Macaca mulatta: one gene and its partners. The protein of the gene in region 3 purifies or fractionates together with the protein of the main gene of each other region. This does not show direct contact. Links are inferred from orthologs where the notes say so. Each region holds a gene or a part of one and is shown on either strand. Other genes may lie near its edges.

Region 1 (6,334 bases), on a different chromosome or scaffold from region 3:
ATTAACAGGAGAAAGGATAGATATGTGTGTGTATGTATACATACATACAATGGAATTCTCACCAACGAAAAGGAATTTCTGATTCATGCAAAATATATGAATCTCAAAAGCATTGTGCTGAGTGAAAGTAGTTCAGACATAAAAGTCTGTACTCTTTATGATTCCATTTATGTGAAATTCTAGAGAAGGCAAAACTATATAGTAATAGCAGATGAGTGTTGGTGGACTGTACTGGGGAAGTGGTGATGGTGGTAGTGAATTAACTGCAGAGGAGCCCAAGAGAAGTTTTTGGAGTGATAAAAAGTTATTTATCATAGTTAATGTTAGTTCCAAAACTGTATGTTTGTACTTGTCAGAACTCAAATGAATTGTACATTTAAATTGGTTAATTTTGTCATTTGTAAATTACACCTTAAAATGTTAGTGATGTCTCTAAGTGTCTGATGGTATAGAGTTTTACAAAGATAAATTTTTAAAAGTTTTACTGTTTCTTAATTCTGGGTTAGCTTTCATTTGAGATTATCAAATGAACAAATTGAGGTGGTTGTTATACAAGCATTCTTTTGGTACATTTTAGTTGTGCTTTGGTTGACTTGTGAAGCAGAAGGAACACTAAATCTGAGAACAGCTATGTGGTGATGAAAGAACGTATGTAAGTCACACAAAAGATAAATATTAAGGTCAGGTTACTCCAAACTAGTACCTCCTAAAATCTCTGGTTATAAATAAATTTTATGATGTTTTGAATAGCACTTTTGATCAGGATAATGGTAGCTTTGGACAGAAAGTGATGAATGTGAGTGAAGCTTACTTTCTGTCAGAGAGCAAAATATAAATGCTGGGTGCAGTGGCTCACACCTATAATCCTAGCACTTTGGGAGACCGAGAAGGTTGGATCACCTGAGGTCAGGAGTTCGAGACAGGCCTGACCAATATGGTGAAACCCTGTCTCTACCAAAAATATAAAAATTAGCTGGGCGTGGTGGCTCACGCTTATAGTCCCAGCTACTCAGGAGGCTGATGCAGGCGAATTGCTTGAACCTGGGAGGCAGAGGTTGCAGTGAGCCGAGATCGCGCTACTGCACTCCAGCCCGGATGACTGAGCGAGACTCCGTCTCGAAAAGAAAAAAACGCTTTAGATTGCTGTTACTGAAAAGAGGTCTGTTATTTAAAAAATGAGGGTATTTGTGTTTGTCGTGGTTGAAACCAGATGTTACATTAGTTTTATTGGGTACCTCTGGTGAATATTAGGAAACCTATTTATATCAAGGTATGCTTACCATTCAGAAGACAACTCTTTCATGCCAACACTGATAATTTAATAATTTAACCACTGTCACTCAATTGGAATAACTTTGTTTTCAAATTACAAAGTAGTTCAAATAAATGGAAAAGGACTGAAAATGACCATAACTCGTATTAAACAAATGTTAACAAATGAAAAATACAGCTAAAGCACTCCAACATAACCATCCTGAAATTAATCATTATAGACCTGTTTAAGTACACGTGGATGTGTGATTTTGTACTTAAACCACACATTCATGTATATATAAACAGGTCTTTTTATACAACGAAATTTATGTAAATGGTATCTTTAACTGGATATGTCTTGCAACATTTTTTCAGTTTAAATAATGAAACAAGCAGTATTTAAAATGTTTAAGGGAACTTATTTGTCCTCCCAGAGTCTCTCAAAAATTCTAAAAGTTCTCCTAGGGAAATAAAGTGAGAAAAGAGGTAAGTGACAAGATTTTGTAGATATGGTGGTTATCTACGAAAACCACCAGTGTTACATTTTAAAAAGAATTATTGTATGTAAATCTTTAGCTTTCTTTTTTGTGTGTCATAGAGACAGGGTCCCTCTGTGTTGCCCAGGCTGGTCTTGACCTCCTGGCCTCTAGTGACCCTCCCACCTCGACCTCCCAAAGTGCCATGGTTACAGGTGTTAAGCCACCCCACTTCACCAATATCTAACAGTTCTTAAATTAATGCATCATTGTAAAATTGAATTTTAAGGCTACACTCCACTCCGTCAGTCTTTTTATTGCCAGTTAATTGCCACCTAAATATTTCATTTTTATTTAATCTTGCTTTGGATTTTGATTAGTAAACTTCTAGGGATGTAGTTTCACATTGATACCCTGTTAACTTGGGAGCTATGGAGGTGTAGTGAGGAGGTGTAGTGAGGAGGTGTATGGAGGTGTAGTGAGGAGGTGTAGTGAGGTGTAGTGAGGAGGTGTAGTGAGGTGTAGTATGGAGGTGTAGTGAGGAGGTGTAGTGAGGTGTAGTGAGGAGGTGTATGGAGGTGTAGTGAGGTGGTGTATGGAGGTGTAGTGAGGTGTAGTGAGGTGTAGTGAGGAGGTGTAGTGAGGTGTAGTGAGGAGGTGTAGTGAGGTGTAGTGAGGAGGTGTATGGAGGTGTAGTGAGGTGTAGTGAGGAGGTGTATGGAGGTGTAGTGAGGTGTAGTGAGGAGGTGTAGTGAGGTGTAGTGAGGAGGTGTAGTGAGGTGTAGTGAGGAGGTGTATGGAGGTGTAGTGAGGAGGTGTATGGAGGTGTAGTGAGGTGTAGTGAGGAGGTGTAGTGAGGTGTAGTGAGGAGGTGTAGTGAGGAGTGGAAACCCCCAGGTAGGGATTTTCTGGAGGGGCCAGATGGTAATTATTTTGAGTTAGAAATCTTTCTGAAATGAATCATACTGGCCTAAAAGATATGCCAGATATAATTTTACTCATTCGTGTGATTGTGGTTCAAGATAATTGCACTGTGGTATGGTGGTTCTTATTTATTGAGGACCTGTCATGTACCAGTCACTTCACATGGTCTCTCCCTCACCCCACCCACCCTCCAGCCCCAAGATTCAGAATGCTATAGTATTCTTAGGTTTTATTGAGCTTAAAATAATTGGCCATGGCCATTTAATGTATGATGACTTTTTTAGTTCCCATCTGCTTTGTCATTTTGTTGACCTACTGTCACTTCAGACTGTTGTGTGCTTGAATATACATAATCCCCCACGCCCCTTCTTATTTATGGGCTTGGAAAAGGCATAAAGGCATTAAAGGCAGTTGGAAAAGCCTGTTAGTGTAATAGTTCTATGTGATGAATAAATGAGCTTTAAGTTTGGAACTCAAGAATCTGAGTAAAATAGGTGTTTGGGTTCACAGACTACTTGACCATTATTTTGATTGAAAAACTTTATTTTTGCTAGTCAGTGCTCAGCAAGAATATTGTTGAGCAGCTGAATTCCAGTTGGTGTGTATGTGCTAAGTGAATGTCCTCATTTATGCTGAAATGAGTTCCTACCAGAATGTCAGTTTTCTGGATATTATTTGAAAGGAATATTTTGGGTAGATTGGTCTACTAAATAATGTTGGAAAGCCAACCTCTTTTTTAATGTGAAAGTTTTTATCTTGCCAAATTTTAACTTTTTTTATTTTAGAACAAATTCTGTACAACATAAAACAAGAGTATAAACGAATGCAGAAGAGAAGACATTTAGAAACGAGTTTCCAACAGACAGATCCGTGTTGTACTTCTGATGCACAGCCACATGCATTTCTCCTCAGTGGACCAGCTTCACCAGGTAATAACATTTCTTTTCATTTATAAAGTTTATTATTTAGAGTGGGAAAAGTTTAATCCAAGTTGTCTTTAGTCATTTAAGCTACTATATCTCCTCTGAGTTTTAAAAAAACATTTATACAAGTAATGCATGACATCTTAAAAATATGGTACAAAATAAGGAATTATCACCTGGATTCCCACTAACCAGGGACAACCACCTGTATAATAATATCCCCAAAGTGGACATCCTGTAAGTACTATGATTTGTAGCCTTTATTAAAAAAATTAACAATAGGCCAGGCACGGTGGCTCATGCCTGTAATCCCAGCACTTGGGGAGGCCAAGCGAGGTAGACAGGTCACTGGAGGTCAGGAGTTGAGACCAGCCTGGCCAACATGGTGAAACCTTGTCTCTACTGGAAATAGAAAAATTAGCCAGGCATGGTGGCATGTGCCTGTAGTCCCAGCCCCTTGGGAGGCTGAGGCATGAGAATCACTTGAACCTGGGAGGCGGAGGTTGCAGTGAGCTGAGATCGTGCCACTGCACTCCAGCTTGGGCGACACAGTGAGACTTTGTCTCAAAAAAAAAAAAAAAAAAAAATTAACAGAATACTATATGCTCCTTTGTTAGGTATAGATGTACCTTGTCATGACCGAATGCTTATTGATAATTCAACTTAGATGTTTTGCTGGTATAGTATTTTAAGAAATATCCCTGTATACGTACCCTCCCTTACACACTTGTCTTATTGGGATAGATTTCTAAAGGTGGATTATTTTATTACTTTTTTTGATCCTGTATCTGTTTTTACCTACCTTTTGTTGGGGGGAGTGTTTGCAAATAACCTTCCTTTTTAAAAAAAAAAAAAAGGAATAAGGGCTACTTGAAGCAAAGAGAAAGTTGAAGGTTTTGCTGAAAGAGAGCCATCAATAGTGGCTCTTACCTTTAGTAAAGTTCTCAGCAAAATAGCTTTTCTTGTGACAACAGTTGCCTTTGTTCAATGCTTTCTCTCCTCCCTCTAGCAAGGGTGGGAAAACCTGGCAGAATAAAAAAATTTCGACCAGGCGCAGTGGCTCATGCCTGTAATCCCAGCACTTTGGGAGGCCGAGGCGGGCGGATCGTGAAGTCAGGAGATCGAGAACATCCTGGCTAACACAGTGAAACTCCATCACTCTAAAAAGACAAAAAATTAGCTGGGTGTGGTGGCAGGTGCCTGTAGTCCCGGCTACTGAGGTAGGAGAATGGCATGAACCTGGGAGGCAGAGCTTGCAGTGAGCAGGGATCACACCATTGCACTCCAGCCTGGGCGACAGAGCAAGACTCCGTCTCAAAAAAAAAAGAAAAAAAAAAAAATCAAAGACCATAATATAGTCAAATAAAATTAGATTAGGAAACATGAAATTGTTCAAAACTAAATACTGCCATGCCCATTGTGGGGGGCCAGTTATTAGTGGTTGAAACATAGTAAGAGGTGAGGGTTGGGTACTAGACTGTATTAGCAGGAAACCAAGATCATTATTTCCTTACTCACTTAGAAGATCAGTTAACTGGCTCTTAAGTAACAAAGCTGGGAATGTGAAAATAAATTAAGATAGCCTTGGGTAATTATGAATAAAGCTGGTGTGCTTTGTTATTGTGATATGCGCAGTTCTAATAAGCATAGTTAACTAGCTCCTGCCATGCCGGTTATAAGCAGCATTAAGTTAAGAGAGTAATATTGGTGGTACCAGGGCAAATTCACAGAGTGAGATGAAGAAACAATAGATAACAAATGAGTGGTGCACTTGAATGTGAATAAAATACTTTTAGCAGTATTACAATAGATGTTATTACTACAAAATATTTTCTCTTTTATAAAAAAATACTAATAGGTATAAAAATGCTGAAGGAATATTCTTGCCAATTTACTAATGATATTGACAGACACTGATGTTGCAGCTGCTTTGGGATTCTTAGTGTGATGACAGTGTAGTTCTATGATACTATAGAGTTTTGAGCATAGCATTATCAGCTCAGTACTTGAGCTTATTTTTCCATGCGAATTATTGTTAACTGAATGGTAGTAGTCAATGTGTTCAAACACCTTTAGAATCATTTATGCTTCTCCAGCAAAGTAGATTCCAGAATGTCTTTTTTATTTTGTTTCATTTTGTTTTTGAGACACGGTCTCACTCCGTTGCCCAGGCTGGAGTGCAGTGGTGAGATCTTGGCTCACTGCAGCCTCTACCTCAGCCTACCCTGTAGCTAGGAACAGGCACATGCCACCACTCCCAGCCAATCTTTGTATTTTTACTAGAGACATGGTTTGCCATGTTGTGCAGGCTGGCCTTGAGCTCAAGGGTTCCACCTGCTTCAACCTCCCAAAAAGTGCTGGGATTACAGGTATGAGCCACCATACCCAGCTAGATTCCAGAATGTTTTTTAATCTTTTTTAAAAAGGGTTCATGCTGTACCTTCTTTTTTTAAACAAAGGTTTTATTGTGCCAACATGAAATTTCTTTTTTTTTTTTGAGATGGAGTTTCTCTCTTGTTGCCTAGGCTGGAGTGCAGTGGCATGATCTTGGCTCACCGTAACCTCCGCCTCCTGGGTTCAAGTGATTCTCCTGCCTCAGCCTCCCGAGTAGCTGGGATTACAGGCATCCGCCACCATGCCCAGCTAATTTTGTATTTTTAGTAGAGACGAAGTTTCTACACGTTGGTCAGGCTGGTCTTGAACTTCTGACCTCAGGTGATCCGCCCGCCTCGGCCTCCCAAAGTGCTGGTATTACAG
Region 2 (6,334 bases), on a different chromosome or scaffold from region 3:
CTCTGCAGGAGTGGCCTGGCGAGCGGCATTAGCCTCCATGACGTTGGAGAGCTCGTTGATGATCAGCTTTAGGATCTTGACCAGCAAAGGAATGTTTGTCCAGCGTTCTGGGTCTGGGAAGGAAGAAAAAGGCTTCAAGTCAGAGTGTCACTGGGCTTACTTCTGGAAGTAGCCCTGTCCCCTCCTCAGTGCTGCTCACCAGAGTTCACCACCCCTCAGACTTTCACTGTCCCTGACTATATCTAGTCTCCAAAGAGTGATTTAAAGTTTAATAACTTTATTCTGTTTGGTATTGTAACAGTTCAGAAGGTGGGAGAGATGAGAGTTCAGGGATTAAAGGAGATAGAGTCTTGTTAGTAATAAAGCTCTGAAACCAAGGAACTGTATAGAGCCAGTACTCTAGTCCCAGTGACTTACAAATTGAGAGACAGCGGAGGTAATTATAAATCTACATTAAAGATAGCAGCTCTATACTCCCTACCTGCAAATCCTTGGTGTTACAGGCCAAAGTCAACTCAGTAACAAAGACACACTAACCATCTGTGCCCAAGCCTCAGAATGAAGCTGGAAACTGGGATGCTTGGTACCTGAGACTATTTTTGTCCTTTTTTTTCCCTCCAGACAGAGTTTCGCTCTTGCTGCCCAGGCTGGAGTGCAATGGCGTGATCTTGGCTCACTGCAACCTTCGCCTACCGGGTTCAAGCTATTCTCCTGCCTCAGCCTCCCAAGTAGCTGGGATTACAGGCATGCGCCACCATGCCTGGCTAACTTTGTATTTTTAGTAGAGGTGGGGTTTCTCTATGTTGGTCAGGCTGGTCTCGAACTCCTGGCCTCAGGTGATCTGGCAGCCTCGGCCTCCCAAAGTGCTGGGATTACAGTTGTGAGCCATCACACTCACTTTTTTTTTTTTTTGAGATGGAGTCTTGTTTTGTTGTCTAGGCTGGAGTGCAGTGGCACGATCTTGGCTCACCACAACCTCTGCCTCCCAGGTTCAAGCGATTCTCCTGCCTCAGCCTCCCAAGTAGCTGGGATTACAGGCGCCCACCACCACATCTGGCTAATTTTTGTACTTTTAGTAGAGACAGGATTTCACTATGTTGGTCAGGCTGGTCTCAAACTCCTGACTTCAAGTGATCCATCCGCCCTGGCCTCCCACCAACTGCTGGAATTACAGGCGTGAGCCACCACGCCCAGCTTATTTTTGTCCATTTTTGACAACAGGAAGAAACCATATGTTCTGATCCCTTTTATCTAAGTTTCCTGTTGCTTCTTTATCAAACCCATCACCAACAATTATGTTTTGAAAATATACACCACAATGCATTCCTTCCCTCCACCCAGGTATCCTTAGCCCCTTATTATAAGGAGAGGATTGGAGGAATTGCAGCATCACCCACTTTTGGCTGACTTAGAGCGGGTGCGGATGCCCTCATCCATGCTGTAGATCTCCTCTCCCTTCACACGGATATCCTGTAGCCGTTTGTCATCTGCATTGATGCCATGCTGGAGCAGCTTACAGAGTGCCACAGAGCTGGCAAGGAAGATCCAAAAAAAAGTCAATCAGTTACCTATCTAGAGTTCATGCCAAGGAGATAAGCAATCATGTCCTAAGGCCCTCTATTTGACAGTGAAAATTCTGTTAACAACTAATTAGGAGAGCTAAGAGAGTTCAGCTGAAAATGAGATTTTAGAGTTCATGAGATGGTCTAATGAGATCTATTCTTCTTCTTCTTATTTTTTTTTTTTGTGATAGGGTCTCATTCTGTCACCCAGGCTGAGTGCAGTGGCGTGATCATGGTTCACTGCAAAGCCTTGACCTCCCTGGGTTCAGGTGATCCTCCCACCTCAGCCTCCTGAGTAGCTGGGACTCCTGAGTGGGTAGGCACGTGCCACCATGCCTGGCTAATATTTTTGGTAGAGATAGGTTTCACCACGTTGCCCAGGTGGGTCTCAAGCAATTTGCCCACCTCAGTCTTCCAAAGTGCTGGGATTACAGGTAACCTGTTCTTCTTGAACAAAGCTAGGGTGGGCAAGCATCACGATGGCTATCCATATTGTAACGTGCAACGAAGTGATAAGAATCAGTGGTATAAAAGTCCAGGATAGAAAGTTAAGAAGCCAGGGTTAGAGGCTTGGGTTTTTTATTTTGAGACAGTTTTGCTCTTGTGGTCCAGGCTGGAGTGCATCTGCCTGTCGCCCAGGCGTGATCTGCCTCCTGGGTTCAAGCGATTCTCCTGCCTTAGCCTCCCGAGTAGCTGGGATTATAGGCACCCACAACCACATCTAGCTATTTTTTGTATTTGTAGTAGAGAGAGGGTTTCACCATGTTGGCCAGGCTGGTCTTGAACTCCTGACCTCCAGTGATCTGCTTGCCTCAGCCTCCAAAAGTGCTGGGATTATAGGTGTGAGCCAGTGCGCCTGGCCAAGGCTTGGGTTTCTAAAGGAAAATAAGCCACTAGCAGCACTTAGCTGTGTGAAGTCTGCGGTAGAAAAGGGATCTCTAGCAAGCAGAGATCAGAAATATATAGTCTACCTGTGTTGACTGTCTTTTGGGGATTTCAAGATGGCAGCTATTCACATATGTGCCTTAGCAATAAAGAAAGACAAGGAAAAGGGAATACAAAGAGCCATCTGAAATGTCAAACAAAAATCAATGGAGCAAATCAGGGAAAAAAAGAAATATAGGTCAGGAGCAGAGGCTCAACACCTGTAATCCCAGCATTTTGGGAGGCCGAGGTGGGTGGATCACTTGAGGTCAGGAGTTCAAGACCAGCCTGGCCAACATGGTGAAACCCTGTCTCTACTAAAAATACACACACACACACACACACACACACAAAAGAATTAGCTGGGTGTGGTGGAAGTTGCAGTGAGCCAAGATTGTGCCACTGCACTCCAGTCTGGGGGACAGAGTGAGACTCTGTTTCAAAAAATAAAAAAACACAAAAGAAAGAAATATAAGTGGTGAAGTGGTGGCAGAATGCCCAGAAAAGAAAGATGGGATTCTACCTGACTTTGCCTTCATACTGTCCATAGAACAGGTGCTGTCGGCTTGTCCACTCAGCCATCACAAACTCTAGAGCAGGTTTGCCAGTAGGTCCTGGGAGGCTACACAGGAACTCCAAAAGAGGTTCTAGCTGAGTGTGCACCAGATGAGCAAACACCATGATCAGGGACTAGGAGAAAATAAGGACATTTGCTTCAGGGAAATCAATTTCAGAGACATAAAAGATGAGAGGGAACTGGCCAGTCAGATAAGAGACAGAGTCTACACTGAGGGTATTATTCACAGGACAAGAAAACATGGAGATTTCCTTGTCCATGTTTCTTAGGCCAGACAGATCCCATTTTACTTAACTGTCCTACAAGGGTAGTAACAGGGTAAAATAACTCAGGACCAAAATACTAATTTTCACTTCTATCAGCCAGGAGTAGGAAGCCCACTCCCTACTGTTCTCTTACCTGCATGACACTGAGCGTCTCTGCCTGCTGCATCTTACTGAGGATGGCACGAAGAATCTGGTCTAGATTCTCCCCCAGCTCCCGCCCTGCCTTGGAGATGAGGGTGGAAACAAGGCGGCCCACAAAGGCCGCAGTGAACTCTGAGGTGCGGGGGTCCAGGAGCTGGCTCACCACTTGCATCACATACCACAGTCCATTGTGGCCCTGCTCATCATGCCACTGGGCTACTTGTTCCAGGGTCACTGACACATAGGCCCGCAAGCACTCTCCGCCATTCTGGGGAGACAGGGGTGGCAAGCAAGATTAGTAACCGAGAGACAGATGCCAGGAGGCCCTCAGTCTGTATAAACAAATGTTCTCAGAGGCCTATGCCTCATAAAAGCGGTGAGTCTATAGTATTTGTGGTGGGCTCATATCACTGGAATCAGGAATTTACTGTTATAGACACAGACATGCATTACATAATTCCCCCTTTACCTAATGAGCTATCTCAAAAATATGTATTATTATTATTTTTTAATCACAAGGGACAATGGCCAAGCAAAATGAATTTTAATCATAAAGGTCTACCTCTGGTACTAAAAAAATATGCTTACAATCTTGCAATAATTGGGGATACTATAGGACCTCATATAGGTCTTACACAAACCACTAGTTGCCTAGGGATTTCTAAGCTGATCAATATTCACTGGCAAGTTCCTATAACCTTTATAATCAATGACGGTAGTACACACCTGAAAAGGTAACCAATTCACCCAGGAAACAAAAAGAGAAAAAATATTTAGGCATCTCTCCCCTCTCTAGAGGCCCATCACTCTGCTGATTTTATTAATAGAGGAAATATGCAGAAAGACTTTCTTATGGCCCCAAGTCTAGATGTCTGTAATCTCTTTCATAGTAGCAATACCCAATACAGATGGGCAGGGTGCTTGGTATCTGTATTTTTAAAAACTGTAACATGCTCCAAAGCACCAGAAACGCTTGGCTTTTGCAGCCTGAACCCTTCCTGAATCTGCTAAGTAAATATGGAGTTGAGGAATTCCGTATTTCAAAAGCATAAAACCATGTCAGATTTCTCAGCGTAGTAAAGGCCCATGACTGGGGAGCTATCTTCCCCCTTCTAGTCTCCATGTCTCAGATACCTGCATGGTGGCATTGTCATCTGTGTGAAGGGTACACTGTGCCACAGCAGGGAAAGCTTGGCAGATGAGAAGCTGGGAAAGGGGAGGCTTTGTATTTCGTACTACTGTTGTCAGGATATCAATGGCTGTCTGAAAGAGAGAAGAAAAAAGAGTCAGAATTGCCTCTGGGGTTGGGGGTGCCCAACAACTAAGATCCTTACTGGATGGGTATCACATAGCAACCCAGAGAAAGCTTATTAATGAAAGGCAAGTTTCCAAAATAAAAGGAATAATTAAATGGGTAGTGCTCTCAGCCTCCTCCTAATAGTTTACTAATTGATTAGTCCTAGGGGTGGGCACTAGTACATGGTAGTGGATTGGATAACCAGGTGACATACTTAGTGGCGCTGTGTAATGGTGGCACTCTGTTCAATTCACTGAGGGTACCTCTGAAACAAGAAGAGCCATTTTCTTTCTTTTATTCTTTTTTGAGGCAGAGTCTCACTCTGTCACCCAGGCTGGAGTGCAGTGGTGCGATCTCCGCTCACTGCAACCTCTGCCTCTTGGGTTCAAGGGATTCTCCTGCCTCAGTCTCCCAAGTAGCTGGGACTGCAGGTGCCTGCCACCATGCCTGGCTAATTTTTGTATTTTTAGGAGAGACAGGGTTTCACCATACTGGCCAGGCTGGTCTCAAACTCCTGACCTTGTGATCTACCTGCCTTGGCCTCCCAAAGTGCTGGGATTATAGGCGTGAGCCACCGCGCCAAGCCAAGTCATTTTCTTAAAGCTTCAGAGAATCACCCACTGTCATTGTGGGCAAAAGAGCTCAGCAAAATCACCCCATGAATCTCTAATGCTATTAAGTTCTTGTCAGCTACATGCATCTGTGGGTGGCGCTTGTATATCTCACACACACACAGCCACTTACCGCACAGAGCCCTGCAGGGATCTTGTCTGCTGGGGCCTGCATTATGCTGACCAGAGTGGGAATCAACCTCATTTGCATTGGGCCCTGACAGGCTTCAATCTGGGACAGCTCCTTGAAGATGTCCTGAGCCAGTGAGGCGACGACGGGATCTGAAGTGGATAAGGCAACACGGAATCCCCCTGCCTGATGGTCTGCATCTGCTTCTCGCTTAATGATGCCTGTTGTTTGCCCTAACCTAACAACTTCTGCATTGATTACTTATCACACATCCGGGACCTAGTGGGGCCACATGAATAACCTGAAAGAACAGGAGTGATCCTAAATCTCCAAGAGGTACACTTTGTATGGCTTCATTAAAGTAGGGACTAGTCTTCAACAGCTACTCCTAAAACAAAATGTAGTTTTTCTAAAGAAAAATCTTTAAAGTCTTTATTCTTGTGAAACCTAGATTATAAAACCATATGCTTAAAAGAAAAAAAAAAGCCCAACTGATACTTTAAGAAGAAAGTTGCAAAAATTGCCAAAACACTGACTTTGATGCATGAGAGAAATCATACATATCTCCTATGAGGTAGCCATAGTGGCCATGAACAATTCTCAAAGCTACTTCTGGGGCAAAAGGCAAAACTCCTAAAAAGCAGAGCCTTATGAAGAAAGGGAACTTTAGCTCAATCTTCTTTATCTATATAACAAAACATCCTCCTCTATTTAGTATGGAAAAATATAGGCAATGTATGTTAAAGTATATCTTAAAAGATCACTGCAGCATTGTTTGTAATAGAAAAAAATTGGGAATACCCTAGATGTCCATTAGCAGAATGGG
Region 3 (6,888 bases):
AATGTTAACACTCCAGATCAAAACTGCCAGGAATATACAAGTCAAACGTTATAGCCTAGACAGCAAAGTGGCCGTAATACCTCTAAGTCGTGCTCATACTGCGCTGCCAAAGCTGGGTCCATGACAACTTCCGGTGGGGCAAGAGCAGGCATGGCAACAAATTCCAAGTTAGGGTCTCCAATGAGCTTCCTAGCGAGCCAGAGGAAGGGCTTTTCAAAGTTGTAGTTACTTTTGGCAGAAATGTCGTAGTACTGTTTAAAAGAAAATAATTTTACCTTTTAAAATTCATTAAGATGACGATTTTTCTAGGACATGGCAAGACAAGAAAATGTTAAGATTCTTGGCAAGGCATGGTGGCTCATGCCTGTAATCCCAGCACTTTGCGGGGGGGCTGAGGTGGGAGGACTGCCTGAGGCCAATAGTACAAGATCAGGCCTGGGCAACAGAGCAAGACCCCATCTCTACAAAAAAACAAATTAGGTGGGCATGGTCTTGAATGCCTGTGGTCCCAGCTACTCAGAAGGCTGAAGTGGGAGGACTGCTTGAGCCCAGGAGTTCAAGGCTGCAGTGAGCTATGTTCATGACACTGCACTCCCGCCAGGGCAACAGGGGAAGACCCTGTCTCAAAAAACAAAGAATATATAAATACACACACGTATCTCAGTTGACCAACCCAGACAACAGTGAAACCCCATCTCTATCATTCTTTAAAAACAATAGTATAAAAAAAGACAAAATTATTTCCTGCCAGCACAGTGGCTCATGCCTGTAATCCCAGCACTTCAGGAGGCCAAGGCAAGTGGATCACTTAAGGTCAGCAGTCGGAGATCAGCCTGACCAACATGGTGAAACCCCGTCTCTACTAAAAAAAAAAAAAAAAAAAAAAAAAAGTACAAAAATTAGCCAGGCGTGGTGGTACATGCCTTTAATCCAGCTACTAGGGGAGCTGAGACAGGAGAACTGCTTGAACCCGGGAGGCGGAGGTCGCAGCGAGCCCAGATTGCGTCACTGCACTCCAGCCTGGGGGACAGAGCGGGACTCCATCTTGGGAGAAAAAAAATCATTTCCATATATAATAGACACTGGTCAATTTCATGGTCTTACATACAATCTCCGCTAAGAGAAATAACTCAGGAAGTTTTAATTTTACACACCTGAAGATTCTTCTTTCGGTGGAAGACAATGGATTTCGCCTTCACTTTCCTGTCCTTAATGTCCACTTTGTTACCACACAACACAATGGGGATGTTTTCACACACTCGCACCAGATCTCTATGCCAGTTAGGCACGTTCTTGTAAGTAACTCTCGATGTTACGTCAAACATGATGATGGCACACTGGGCTGAAAGAAACAGTTGCGGTAATTAGTACACTGTTTACCACACAAGTGAAGAATGCTAAGAACCGCAGACTAGGATTCAACTATAGTCTTAGACCTCAACAAGGCACCTAGATCTCTCCCCTCACTTTCAAAGTCTCTTTCAATTCTAAGAACATTAACACAGAACTCTTCCTAAGAAAGATGAGCTGATTCTATCAAATCTCCCTGATAAACTTCACCATTAATACTCCCCTCATCCCCAAAACACTATCTGAAGTAATTAATGCCAAGTGAGATTCTGGAGAACCAAGCTGCCATATTCTGAGGGTAGGGCCTGGAAATAGTCTTCAGAAAGTCTTTAAATGGCCGACTATACTAGGAAATATCATTCCTGTCTTAAAAACTCCAGATAGGCCAAGCGATGTGGCTCATGCCTGTAATCCCAGCACTTTGAGAGGCTGAGGTGGGTGGATCACCTGAGCTCATGAGTTCCAGACCAGCATGGGCAACATGGTGAATCCCCATCCCTACCAAAAAAAAATACAAAAATTAGTCAGGCAAAGTGGCAGGTGCCTGTAGTCCCAGCTACTCAGGAGGCTGAGGCTTAGGAGGCGGAAGCTGCACTCCAGGTTGGGCAACAAAACAAGACCCTGTCTCAAAAAAAAAAAAATTAAATAACCCAGATAAAGTCTATATACTCACCTGCAGGAATAACTATGGTACAGTTAGTAAGGCAAGAAACCACAACTTTTTGGTTAAAGGATTTTTTGGGGGGGAAATTCTTGTGTTTATATGTACACGTTCAAGAAGAGCAAAAGGCATGGAATGATTCCAGATAATGTGTTATTAGCAACGTGAGGTTCCAGGAGAGATGAGTATTTTGTTTATTCCTCTCTTTTTGGTACAATGAACATTTTCCTTGAGATTTTTAAATCAAACTATTTGAGAAAAATACTCTGCACAACTTACTACAAACAATTTAACAAGAAATCGGCTAGTCTTGTATAACACTTGTTAAGACCTCCTATCTCCTCTGGTCTAGTATCTGGTGTTGCTTTGTAATGGACTAGAAATATTCATTGATCGCCACACCAAACTACACACAAGAACCAAAGTTTTCAAATACTGAAACTGCTGTTAACAGCCTGTTATTGTTTTAAACATGACTTATAAGTTCCAGTGTAAGTCATAGGTTTTTCTAAACCATGCCTAGCATGACACAGCATGCAACTTTCATAAAATTTTCTCCTCTGCCACCAAAATGGTGGTCAACTCCCTGAAGTCCACGTCTTTTTTTAACCCAGAAATGACACAATTCCCATTACAGTATTAAGCACTATTTGTTGGAACAGACCTGATTTTCTATAACCTTGAAAACTGAAGTACACAAAACCTCTCAAAAACTGTTCAGCAAGTTACAAATGCCTACCTTGGATATAATAGCCATCTCTCAGTCCGCCGAATTTCTCCTGGCCGGCTGTGTCCCATACATTGAATTTAATAGGTCCTCTGTTGGTGTGGAACACTAGGGGATGAACCTCAACACCCAAGGTGGCTAAAACGGAAACGACATGATTGAGTGGATGAATTTACCCATTTCTCACGTATTTCCACAAGCAAGGTTTTCCTGCACATACCTACATACTTCTTCTCAAATTCACCAGTCAAATGACGCTTCACGAAGGTCGTTTTTCCAGTACCACCATCACCAACCAATACAAGCTGTTGGAGAACACATTTGGAAGTAAACCCAAAACACTTCACCTCTCAAGATCCCAGAGTCATGGAACTTTAACCATCACAGGCTCACTTAAAACAAAGAATATGGATGCGGGGCCCCGTTACAGCCATCGTGGGTCCGGGAGGAGGGACCCGCGAGTCGCACGCGGTCGGACTCGGCCGCCTCCCGCCCCGCAGGGTTACCTACTTTGAACTGGACCTGGGGCTCTCCCTGCGCAGCCATCGCGGCGTTCCTGCGGAGGCAGAGGACGGAGGCGAGCGCTCGCGCGGCCCCGCAGCCCATGGCGGCCCCGCTCCCGCGCCCCCAGCGCCCCACGTGCCCGCCCCACAAAGGCCTCCCGCCCGCGGCGCCATGGCGGCCGGGCCTCGGAGCGGGAAGGCGGCGGGCGGGGCCGGCATCCGGGGCGGCGGGGCGCGGGGAACGGCGGACGGAGGAGTCGGGATAGGGACGGGACTGAGACCGGGACGGGAATGAGAGCGGAGGATGAAACGGGGGTTCGCGGGGGCGGGCGCCGACCCCATGCCCGTCTCCTGCCCCGGCACGGCCGGGCCCGCGCCACCCACCTACTCACAGCCGCCCGCTGTCCCTGGGCCCGCCACCTGCCCCGGCCCTGACCCCGGCTCCGGCCCCTATCCCGCCGCCGCCGCCCCTGTCCCCGCCCGGCCCTGCCCCCGCCCGGCCCGCCGCGTCTCACTACCTTCCAGAAGCGTCTCCGCGCCCGTCCGACTGAGGCTGGAAAGATGGCGGAAGCGCAATTCAAACGCCGGAGACGCAGCCGACGCCGGCGCGCGGGCAGGGGCGGGGCCGACGGGGGCGGGGTTGACAAGGGGCGGGGCAACGGCACGGCGCCCGCCCACGTGGCCCGCGCGTGCGCGCGCGCACGCACGCAACCTGGTTCAGTCGGCCGCTGCGGCCGGCGCTGCGCTTAGGGTGGGGCGGGAGGCGCGATGGACCGCGTGGGAGGGCGAGCCGGGAGCGCGCACGCATGCCGGCCCGTGGGGGCCACGTGCGCCGGCGCCCAGGGCGGGCTCGGGGGCGCGCATGCGCTGACAGGGAGGCGGCGCGCCCCTGGGCGGGAGTCGTTGGGCGCGGCCGGACTGTCGCGGCCGTGCTACCTCTTGGGTGGGAGGCGGTACTCGCTTGGGCAGACGCGGTCAGGCACGCGGCTTCCAGGCGCTGGCCAGCCAGTCCTTGTCTGTGCCCCGTGGGGTTGGGGTACTTGGGGTCCTGGGGCTTAGGATGGCGCTCGCGTGCGCGCAGGACGGGTGAGTGACAGAACGGATGAATGAATGAAGGGATCCTAGGCTGGGCCTCCAGAGTCAGCCCGCGGCTCTGTCTCTCCAGATCGCAGCCTTCACGCCCCCAGGACCAGGGCCAGTTGGAGAGCGAGGAACCAGAGAGGGATGCCCCCACCCCGGAAAATGGCTACTTATTTTTTTTTAAGAGACAGAGTCTCGGCCGGGTGCGGTGGCTCACGCCTGTAATCCCAGCACTTTGGGAGGCCGAGACGGGCGGATCACGAGGTCAGGAGATCAAGACCATCTTGGCTAACACGGTGAAACCCCGTCTCTACTAAAAAATACAAAAAACTAGCCGGGCGAGGTGGCGGGCGCCGGTAGTCCCAGCTACTCGGGAGGCTGAGGCAGGAGAATGGCGTAAACCCGGGAGGCGGAGCTTGCAGTGAGCAGAGATCCGGCCACTGCACTCCAGCCTGGGCGACAGAGCCAGACTCAGTCTCAAAAAAAAAAAAAGAGACAGAGTCTCGCTATTTTGCCCAGGCTGGTCTCGAACTCCCAGGCTCGAACGATCCTCCCGCCTCAGCCTCCCAATTAGCTGGGACTACAGGCGCGCACCACATCCGGGGTAATTTTTTTTCTTTTTTTTTTTTTTTTAATTTTTAGGGACAGGATCTTACTATGTCTCCCAGGTTGGCTTCAGGGGATCCACCCGCCTCGGCCTCCCAAAGCGCCCAGCTTCTCAAAGCGTTTCATAGGTTGGCAGCCTTGGCCGCTGCGTCCTACAAACAAAATGATAAAATTTTGTTTGCAGTCTGGGCGCGTCTTCCAGCCCCAGTTACGAACGCGGACGGAATAAGTGCTCAGCTTCCCAGCCCCGTGTTGGCCTGAAGCTGTAAGACTCCAAACAAGGTTGAGCTAGAGCGACCCCGACTTCCTGGGCGCCCCTGCCGACATGCAGACGGAAAAAGGCTCAAATCAGCGCAGTCAAGCGCCTTAGAAGAGTCCAGCATGGTGAAAGAGTCCCGGTAACCGAGGAGTCCTCCCTGCAGTCCTGGGCACACTTGAGTCCGCTGGGAACCCCAGTGACGCAAATTGGTCACAACGCGGGGGAGAACCGGCCTGCTGGGAACGCAAGTCCGAGCTCCCCCAGAACCCTCAGGGGAACGCCAAGCACCTCTCGCGGGAGAGCAGAATCTAACAGTAAAACGGGAATGCCCATTGCTTGTGACCGTGGATTTCCATTTCTAGGGAGAGGCTCGAGAGTTAAACTCACGCCTCACACATGTGCACAACATTTAATGCTGTATAACATTTAAAAGGATTGACGGTCGTCTGTTTCCACAGGTTTAGATAGACGTCAAAAGGATAATGTTGAGAAAAGCAGAAAGAGGTGATAATAGCTTTATAAAGTCTAGGCCACCTGTAATCCCAGCACTTTGGGAGCCCGAGGTAGGAGGATTCCTTAAACCCAGGAGTTCCCAGCCTAGGAGACAGAGTAAGACCCTGTTTCCAAAATTATTACATAAAGCCTAACACTATATGTAACTTTATCTAGAGGGATTATATATATAGTATAATGTCATTTGTGTACGTTTTTTACAAAAACATAAAAGCATATTGGCTATTGGATATATGTATTTTTTTTAATTGCAAGGATATACATACCATATCCTGATGGTTACTGCTTCAAGAAAGGGTAGAAAGGAGTGTGATGGAACTGAGAAGAGGAGTCAAAGAAGACTTTAACTTTACTTGCAATATTCTATTTCTTTTGTTTTTTATTTTTCTTTCTTTCTTTTTTTTTTTTTTGAGACAGAGCCTCACTGTCGCTCAGGCTGGAGTGCAGTGGTGTGATCTCGGCTCACTGCAACTTCCGCCTCCCAGGTTCAAGCGATTCTCCTGCCTCAGCTAGTTGAGTAGCTGGGATTACAGGCATGCGCCACCACAGCCGGCTAATTTTTTTTATTTTTATTTTTTTATTTTTAGTAGAGATGGGGTTTCATTATATTGGAATAGGTAATCGAGTGGTCACTTTGGTAGCACGTATACCAAAATTGGAATGATACAGAGAAGATTAGCATGCCACCTGCGCAAGGATGACAATTTTTTCTTTTACTTTTTTTCTTTCTTTTTTTTTTTTTTTTGAGACAGTCTCACTCTTGTTGCCCAGGCTGGAGTGCAGTGCCGTGATCTCATTTCACTGCAAGCTCTGTGTCCCGGGTTCAAGCGATTCTCCTGCCTCAGCCTCCTGAGTAGCCGGGTTTACACGCCCACGACACCACGCCCGGCCAATTTTTGTATTTTTAGTAGAGATGGGGTTTCGCCATGTTTGCTAGGCCTGTCTCGAACTCCTGACCTCAGGTGATCTGCCCGCCTCAGCCTCCCAAAGTGCTGAGATTACAGGCGTGAGCCACCGCACCCAGCCAAGGATGACAATTTTTTTAATTAATTAGAAAAATTTAAAGAAAAAAGGTAATCAAAGCAAAGGTGACAATATATTAACTACTATACAGTTCTGGGCATTGGAACACCCGTGTTTATACCTTTTGGCATTTTTTTCCCCTACAAAAATACCAAGTGGAAATATG
Region 4 (5,454 bases), on a different chromosome or scaffold from region 3:
GCTGCTGGCGTGAGTGGCTTCCTGTGCCTCTTCTCAATCTCAGAGTGTGTCCTTGGATGGTCCTGATACACAACGGCAAAAAGAACATGGAGAGGAGATAACCAAGTTTTGGCCTCAAAAAGACAACCCACCAGCCTTCAACCTCTTCCCTATGTGGAGGGCGCTAGGTCCAAGTGAGACCATGGCACATTCGATGCTGTTTACCAACACCCGACGCTGGTGACTTTGGATGCCATCCTTGAAGACACAGTGCTGGCTGATGGAGGCTCTGCTGGCTTCTCAGAGCCACAGAAACGGGGCTATCTCCTTGGCTGTGATCTGAAAAAACGCACATACATTCTGTACAGAAACGGACAGTTTAATAGTGGCAGGGAAAACCCAACGTGAAATATAAAATAAGTAATCACGCGTCTCGTGAGTTTCGGTTTCTGTTGTTTCTTTCTGGGTGTATGTGTTCTGATGGCAGCGTCGGTCTGAGCAGCCTGCTCCAGCATTTCTCGGTGAAGCAGCTGAGGATGCAGTTGGTCCCAGGGACCGAAGGGCCTGCTGACACCCCCTCAGCTTCGCCAGCCACCAAAACCCTGCACAGACCTGCAAGGAAGCACAGGAGAGTGGTGGAGTCAGCTGCTCTGTCACAGAGCAGTCACAGGCTCTGCTGCTCTGCCTGTGGGCAAAGGTCAGGACTCCGATTTTTTATTATTATTTTTTTGATAGAGCCTCACTCTGTTGCCCAGGCTGGAGTGAAATGGCGTGATCTCAGCTCACTGCAACCTCCACCTCTCAGGCTCAAGCACTTCTTCTGCCTCAGCCTCCCAAGTAGCTGGGATTACAGGCATGCACCACCATGCCTGGCTAATTTGTGTGTGTGTATCTATATATATATATATATTTTTTAGTAGAGATAGGGTTTCACCATGTTGGCCAGGCTGGTCTCAAACTCCTGACCTCAAGTGATCTGCCCACCTTGGCCTGCCAAAGTGCTAGGACGACAGGTGTGAGCCACTGTGCCTGTCCAGTTTTGTTTTGTTTTTCCTTTTGAGATAGGGACTGGCTGTCACCCAGGATGGAGTGTAGCAGTACCATCTTGGCTCACTGCAGCCTCGACCTCCCAGGCTCAAGTGATCCTCCCACCTCAGCTTCTGGAGTAGCTGGGACCACAGGCATGAGCCAGCATGCAAAGCTAATTTTTAAAATTTTTAGTAGAGATGGGGTCTCACTATGTTACGCAGGCTGGTCTTGACTCCTGGGCTCAAGCAATCCTCCCACCTCAGCCTCTCAAAGTGCTGGGATTATAGGCATGAACCACCCACCTGGCTAAGACTGAATTTTAACGCCATGAAATTCTACACAGAAGCAAAGAGGATGGATCAGCACAAGACCTGGTGATGGCCCAGAGCCCAGGGGTTAGCACACGGCTTCCGAGAAACCCACAAGGGAAGTCACGAGCAGCATCTCCTCAGCGCTGCCCTCAGGCCCGGCTCACTGGCAGGCTGCTCTCTTTCTCTCTGAACCATGTCTCTTAAGAAGGCGAGGCCTGGCACCTTCTGTCACATTGCTACGGAGAAGAGCAAGTCCACAAAACCTAAACCCTGCTGCTGAACCCCCACACTTCCAGGACAAACTCTAAAAACAGGAAAAAATGAAAAGAAAATGCACAAATCCAGCAAGATCCACACACTTCCAACCTTATTTAATGCTTTTAATTAAGGTCAGACTCAAAAAGGGGGATACTTACGAGTTATTTGATCCAAAGCTGAAGCCTGAAAAGCAGAAGACAGAAGTTAAAGCACGCGTCCACTTGAAAGATGAAGGTGGTCCCCATGCTAAGTGCCTGCCCTCCTGTGCTTCTCAGTCATGGGAAGCCCTCCATGCCTCCCCCACCTACAGGAAGGCAGGAAAGGTACATGCAGAAGCCCCTTTATTCTGAGTTTGTCCTCTGGAGCTGCTCAGATCCCCCAGAAGGCAGAAGAAATCCTTTACTTTTTATGAGTTATCTTCTTGGTATTTTAGGTTCTTCCTCCCTCCCCGGCCCCAGCTGTAGGCAGAGGGTCTCTGGTTTGGCCTCTCTCTCAACTGCGCTGGACCACACAGATTCATTTCATTAGGAAAACTTTTTTTTTTTTTGTGCTGTGGTTGTTTTTCCATCCATTTGCTTCCTCTTCTTTTTGAGGGCCAGAGAAGCAAGATGGCTGGATTCTAAGCCTGGTTCTGCTGCTAACTGACTCTCGGCAAATCACTTAGTTCCTTGGAGTTTCTGTTTCGTCATTGGTACGACTGTAATGATACCTAAATTCTGTGCCTCATCAGTTTATTGCAAGAACAAAACGGAAGACACATATTCTGCCGTCTGAAGAAGCAGAGTGTTAAACAAATGCAACATGTTTTGTGAAGTTTCTACGTGTTTTCTTTTTTTTTTTTTTTTAGTCTGTTGGCTTAGATTTTTAAACCAAGGCCTAGTAAGACCATTATTATGTTGGGCTTCTCAAATCCTGAGAGGAAATAAAGACAGTAATTTCTTTGGTAAGAAATGACACAATGTTCTAAGCCTAACCAAAACCTAAAAAATATATATATTTCTTCATTGGTATGAGATACATACATATATATATATATATTTATTTTTCGGCTGGGCGCGGTGGCTCACGCCTGTAATCCCAGCACTTTGGGAGGCTGAGGCGGGTGGATCATGAGGCCAGGAGATGGAGACCACCCTGGCTAACCCAATGAAACTTCGTCTCTACTAAAAATACAAAACATTAGCCGGGTGTGGCGGTGGGCGCCTGTAGTCCCAGCTACTCAGAAGGCTGAGGCAGGAGAATGGCATGAACCTGGGTGGCGGAGTTTACAGTGAGCCGAGATCGCACCACTGCACTCCAGCCTGGGCAACAGAGCGAGACTCTGTCTCAAAAAAAAAATTTTTTTTTCAACCACTTTCAGTATGTTATGTATTTATTTATTTTGAGACAGGGTCTCATTCTGTCACCCAGGCTGTAGTGCAGTGGTGCAATCACAGCTCACTGCAGTCTCGACCTCTCGGGCTCCAGTGATCCTCCTGCTTCAGCCTCCTGAGTAGCTGGGACCACAGGTGTGTGCCACCATGTCTGGCCAATTTTAAAATTTTTTGTAGAGAATGGGGTCTTGCCATGTTGCCCAGGCTAGTCTCAAACTCCTGGGCTCAAGTGATCCTCCCGCCTTGCCAAAGTGCTGGGATTACAGGCATGAGCCACGTGCCTGGTCAGCTTTTAAAATACTAAACAGACTGGTCAGGTAAAACATACTCATTTGTTTGGGGGAAGAAGGCAAGAGGGACCCATTGTGCTTGCGCAGGGAGAACTTGTAGCAGCTCACCTCCTGTGCCTGATCCAAAACCAGAGAATCCGCTACTCTGGGTCCCAAAACCAGAAGTCTGTTGGGACAGTGATCCGAAAGTGGGGGCGTTCTGACTCGCGAGTGTGCCGAAGGATGTGGTGTTGCTGCTGCTCCCAAACCTGCGCTCCAGTGAGAAACAGACCGAGGTCAGTGGGGCCTCTCACCACTCGGCCATCTGCAAGCCTCAGCCCCCTGCCGTAAATCTCAATATACACGACACACATGATCCAGGGTGACAGGCTGGGCCTAACTAGCAGCCTTTTAGAGAGAACGAGCTATCGTTCAGGGCCAACTTTTATCTCTGCTCTGGGAAGAAAAACGGCAGGACTACAGTATGAAATCCAACCTGGCCAGTGTTTTGGTTTCCATCCCCTATCAGAACACCAGGGCATTTGGGAACTGTGCAGTACACATTTCCTGCTCTACCTCCAACAATCCTGAAGCTTTATTCTATCATTTTAGCATTTCTCACTTACCGACCATTCCCCCACACCCCGCTCCCATTTATTTATCTTCAGCTCCTCTTGGGATCTTGATTCTATTTACGTTTTCCAAGTCGTTTCATTCAGGATTTTGTATTTGTTTCCTGAATCAATAATTACTATCCAAAACAATGTAAAAGTGGCCACCATTTTCTTTCCCCTGCTGGCCCCACCTGGAGACAATCCCCTGTGCACCCTCGCTCAGTTCTCCCTCCAGATATGGTCCAGCACAGAAGGTGGCACTGTGTGGCCTACCAGAGCCCCCTGAATCATTTGCAGAGGAATTCAGCTGGGTTGGCGAGAGCTTCTGGGGTCTGGAGGTGACTAGGTGAGGGAAATAGATCAGTGGTTTCTGGGAGAAGGGGCAGCACCTGGGGCAAGAGTCAACCCCAAAGCAAGAAAAAGTATCTAAAACTCCCCCTTCCCACCATTCTATTCACCGTTAATGGTGAGGTCAAGGCTCTTTCCATACAAAGGTGGCCAAGGGATCTGCCCTCATTGGACTTTCTCCCAGGAGCATCTGCTCCCTTCCTCCTCCTGCCTTGGGCCTCATCAGCAACAGCCTGCCCTTCTCAAAGGCCTGCCCTTCAGGGTAGGAGACAGGCTCATGGCCAGGGACCTGGAAGAAGGTAATGGGCTTTTATGGGGATTTAATAACTGACCTGGTATTAACCCTTTTTAGGACTGACTAACCAGCCAGTCAGGATTTGTGTGAGAGCTGCCCCAAGGCAGAATATGATACTTTTCTACTAGTAAAGAAAACAGCTGGTTTCAAATAAATAAATCAATTCTCAAGATACCCAGTCAACCCACACCTTCCACCAACTCTGTGGTACTATGTGCTAGGTCATCACTGCAGAGAACAGCGTCCATTAAGACCTCTGAGAATACCAGCCTAAGTGGGTCTCTAACTGTCTTTTCCAAGCTTTCCTTAACTTAATTCTTGGGGTTTCCTGAGGGCAAACCTAAGGCATTAGTCTCCCTGTGAAACAGGAGCAGCAGCACGCCAACCCTCATTCTTGCTGCTGCGCTCCAGCATCTTGCATGGAGGGAAAGGGTGTGAGTAAGAACATACTATAGTTTATTTTCAAGATAAAGATGCTGTTAGCTTGCCAAGACTCAGATCCCAAGTATCTCTACAATTCCCCCAGACAAAATCATCTCCCCTCCCCCAAGTCTTCAGCTCATGTTGAGCCCAGTACCGTGGTGAGAGGCATTTTAGAACTTTCAGGCATCAACACCTCCTTTGAATGAGACTTGGTAGTCACCCCATGTACAATTTTTAAATTGGGATGTTGTGGTGGGGTGAAGACTTTTTTTCCCTTGGGGTTTTGGCAACCAGACTGAAATTCTGCCCTTAAAAGCAACTCCCTAACATGGCCTTTTCCAGTGCAGACGCACACGAGGCAATGAAAGCAGCTTCGAAATTCCTGATCATCCAGGATCTTCCCATGGCGGGGGACCTGTGGAACTGAATACTCACTGTGGGGGCTGCAGGGGAGCAGGGGACACAGGGAGTTGTTTGTTCAAGGACAATGGGTCTAACACAGAACAATCCCAAGATGAAAGAATCTGGTGGAAACCATTCATTGAGGACTTCCTA

Evidence for each region. Proteins that work in one complex are often made in the same cells at the same time.
Region 1: the proteins of RAN (region 3) and AKIRIN2 purify together in Homo sapiens (affinity purification with mass spectrometry; 3 studies listed by BioGRID and IntAct, counting the BioPlex papers as one, with this or other methods). This does not show direct contact. The link is inferred for Macaca mulatta from reciprocal best matches to the Homo sapiens genes RAN and AKIRIN2.
Region 2: the proteins of RAN (region 3) and IPO9 purify together in Homo sapiens (affinity purification with mass spectrometry; 3 studies listed by BioGRID and IntAct, with this or other methods). This does not show direct contact. The link is inferred for Macaca mulatta from reciprocal best matches to the Homo sapiens genes RAN and IPO9.
Region 4: the proteins of RAN (region 3) and NUP214 purify together in Homo sapiens (affinity purification with mass spectrometry; 3 studies listed by BioGRID and IntAct, counting the BioPlex papers as one, with this or other methods). This does not show direct contact. The link is inferred for Macaca mulatta from reciprocal best matches to the Homo sapiens genes RAN and NUP214.

What each region holds. Positions count from the first base shown.
Region 1 is NC_133409.1:98,261,187-98,267,520, forward strand, and holds part of AKIRIN2 (akirin-2), read left to right. Parts: intron 1-3,439; coding exon 3,440-3,583; intron 3,584-6,334. UniProt on the Homo sapiens protein: Molecular adapter that acts as a bridge between a variety of multiprotein complexes, and which is involved in embryonic development, immunity, myogenesis and brain development.
Region 2 is NC_133406.1:59,523,363-59,529,696, reverse strand, and holds part of IPO9 (importin-9), read right to left. Parts: intron 5,661-6,334; coding exon 5,512-5,660; intron 4,734-5,511; coding exon 4,605-4,733; intron 3,739-4,604; coding exon 3,463-3,738; intron 3,177-3,462; coding exon 3,010-3,176; intron 1,532-3,009; coding exon 1,398-1,531; intron 114-1,397; coding exon 1-113. UniProt on the Homo sapiens protein: Nuclear transport receptor that mediates nuclear import of proteins, such as histones, proteasome and actin. Serves as receptor for nuclear localization signals (NLS) in cargo substrates.
Region 3 is NC_133416.1:138,251,436-138,258,323, reverse strand, and holds the start of RAN (GTP-binding nuclear protein Ran), read right to left. Parts: upstream 3,792-6,888; 5' UTR 3,760-3,791; intron 3,295-3,759; 5' UTR 3,285-3,294; coding exon 3,249-3,284; intron 3,044-3,248; coding exon 2,959-3,043; intron 2,877-2,958; coding exon 2,751-2,876; intron 1,343-2,750; coding exon 1,155-1,342; intron 252-1,154; coding exon 81-251; intron 1-80. UniProt on the Homo sapiens protein: GTPase involved in nucleocytoplasmic transport, participating both to the import and the export from the nucleus of proteins and RNAs. Switches between a cytoplasmic GDP- and a nuclear GTP-bound state by nucleotide exchange and GTP hydrolysis.
Region 4 is NC_133420.1:16,314,034-16,319,487, forward strand, and holds part of NUP214 (nuclear pore complex protein Nup214), read right to left. Parts: intron 3,489-5,454; coding exon 3,326-3,488; intron 1,761-3,325; coding exon of another isoform or gene 1,736-1,760; intron 592-1,735; coding exon 280-591; 3' UTR 1-279. UniProt on the Homo sapiens protein: Part of the nuclear pore complex. Has a critical role in nucleocytoplasmic transport.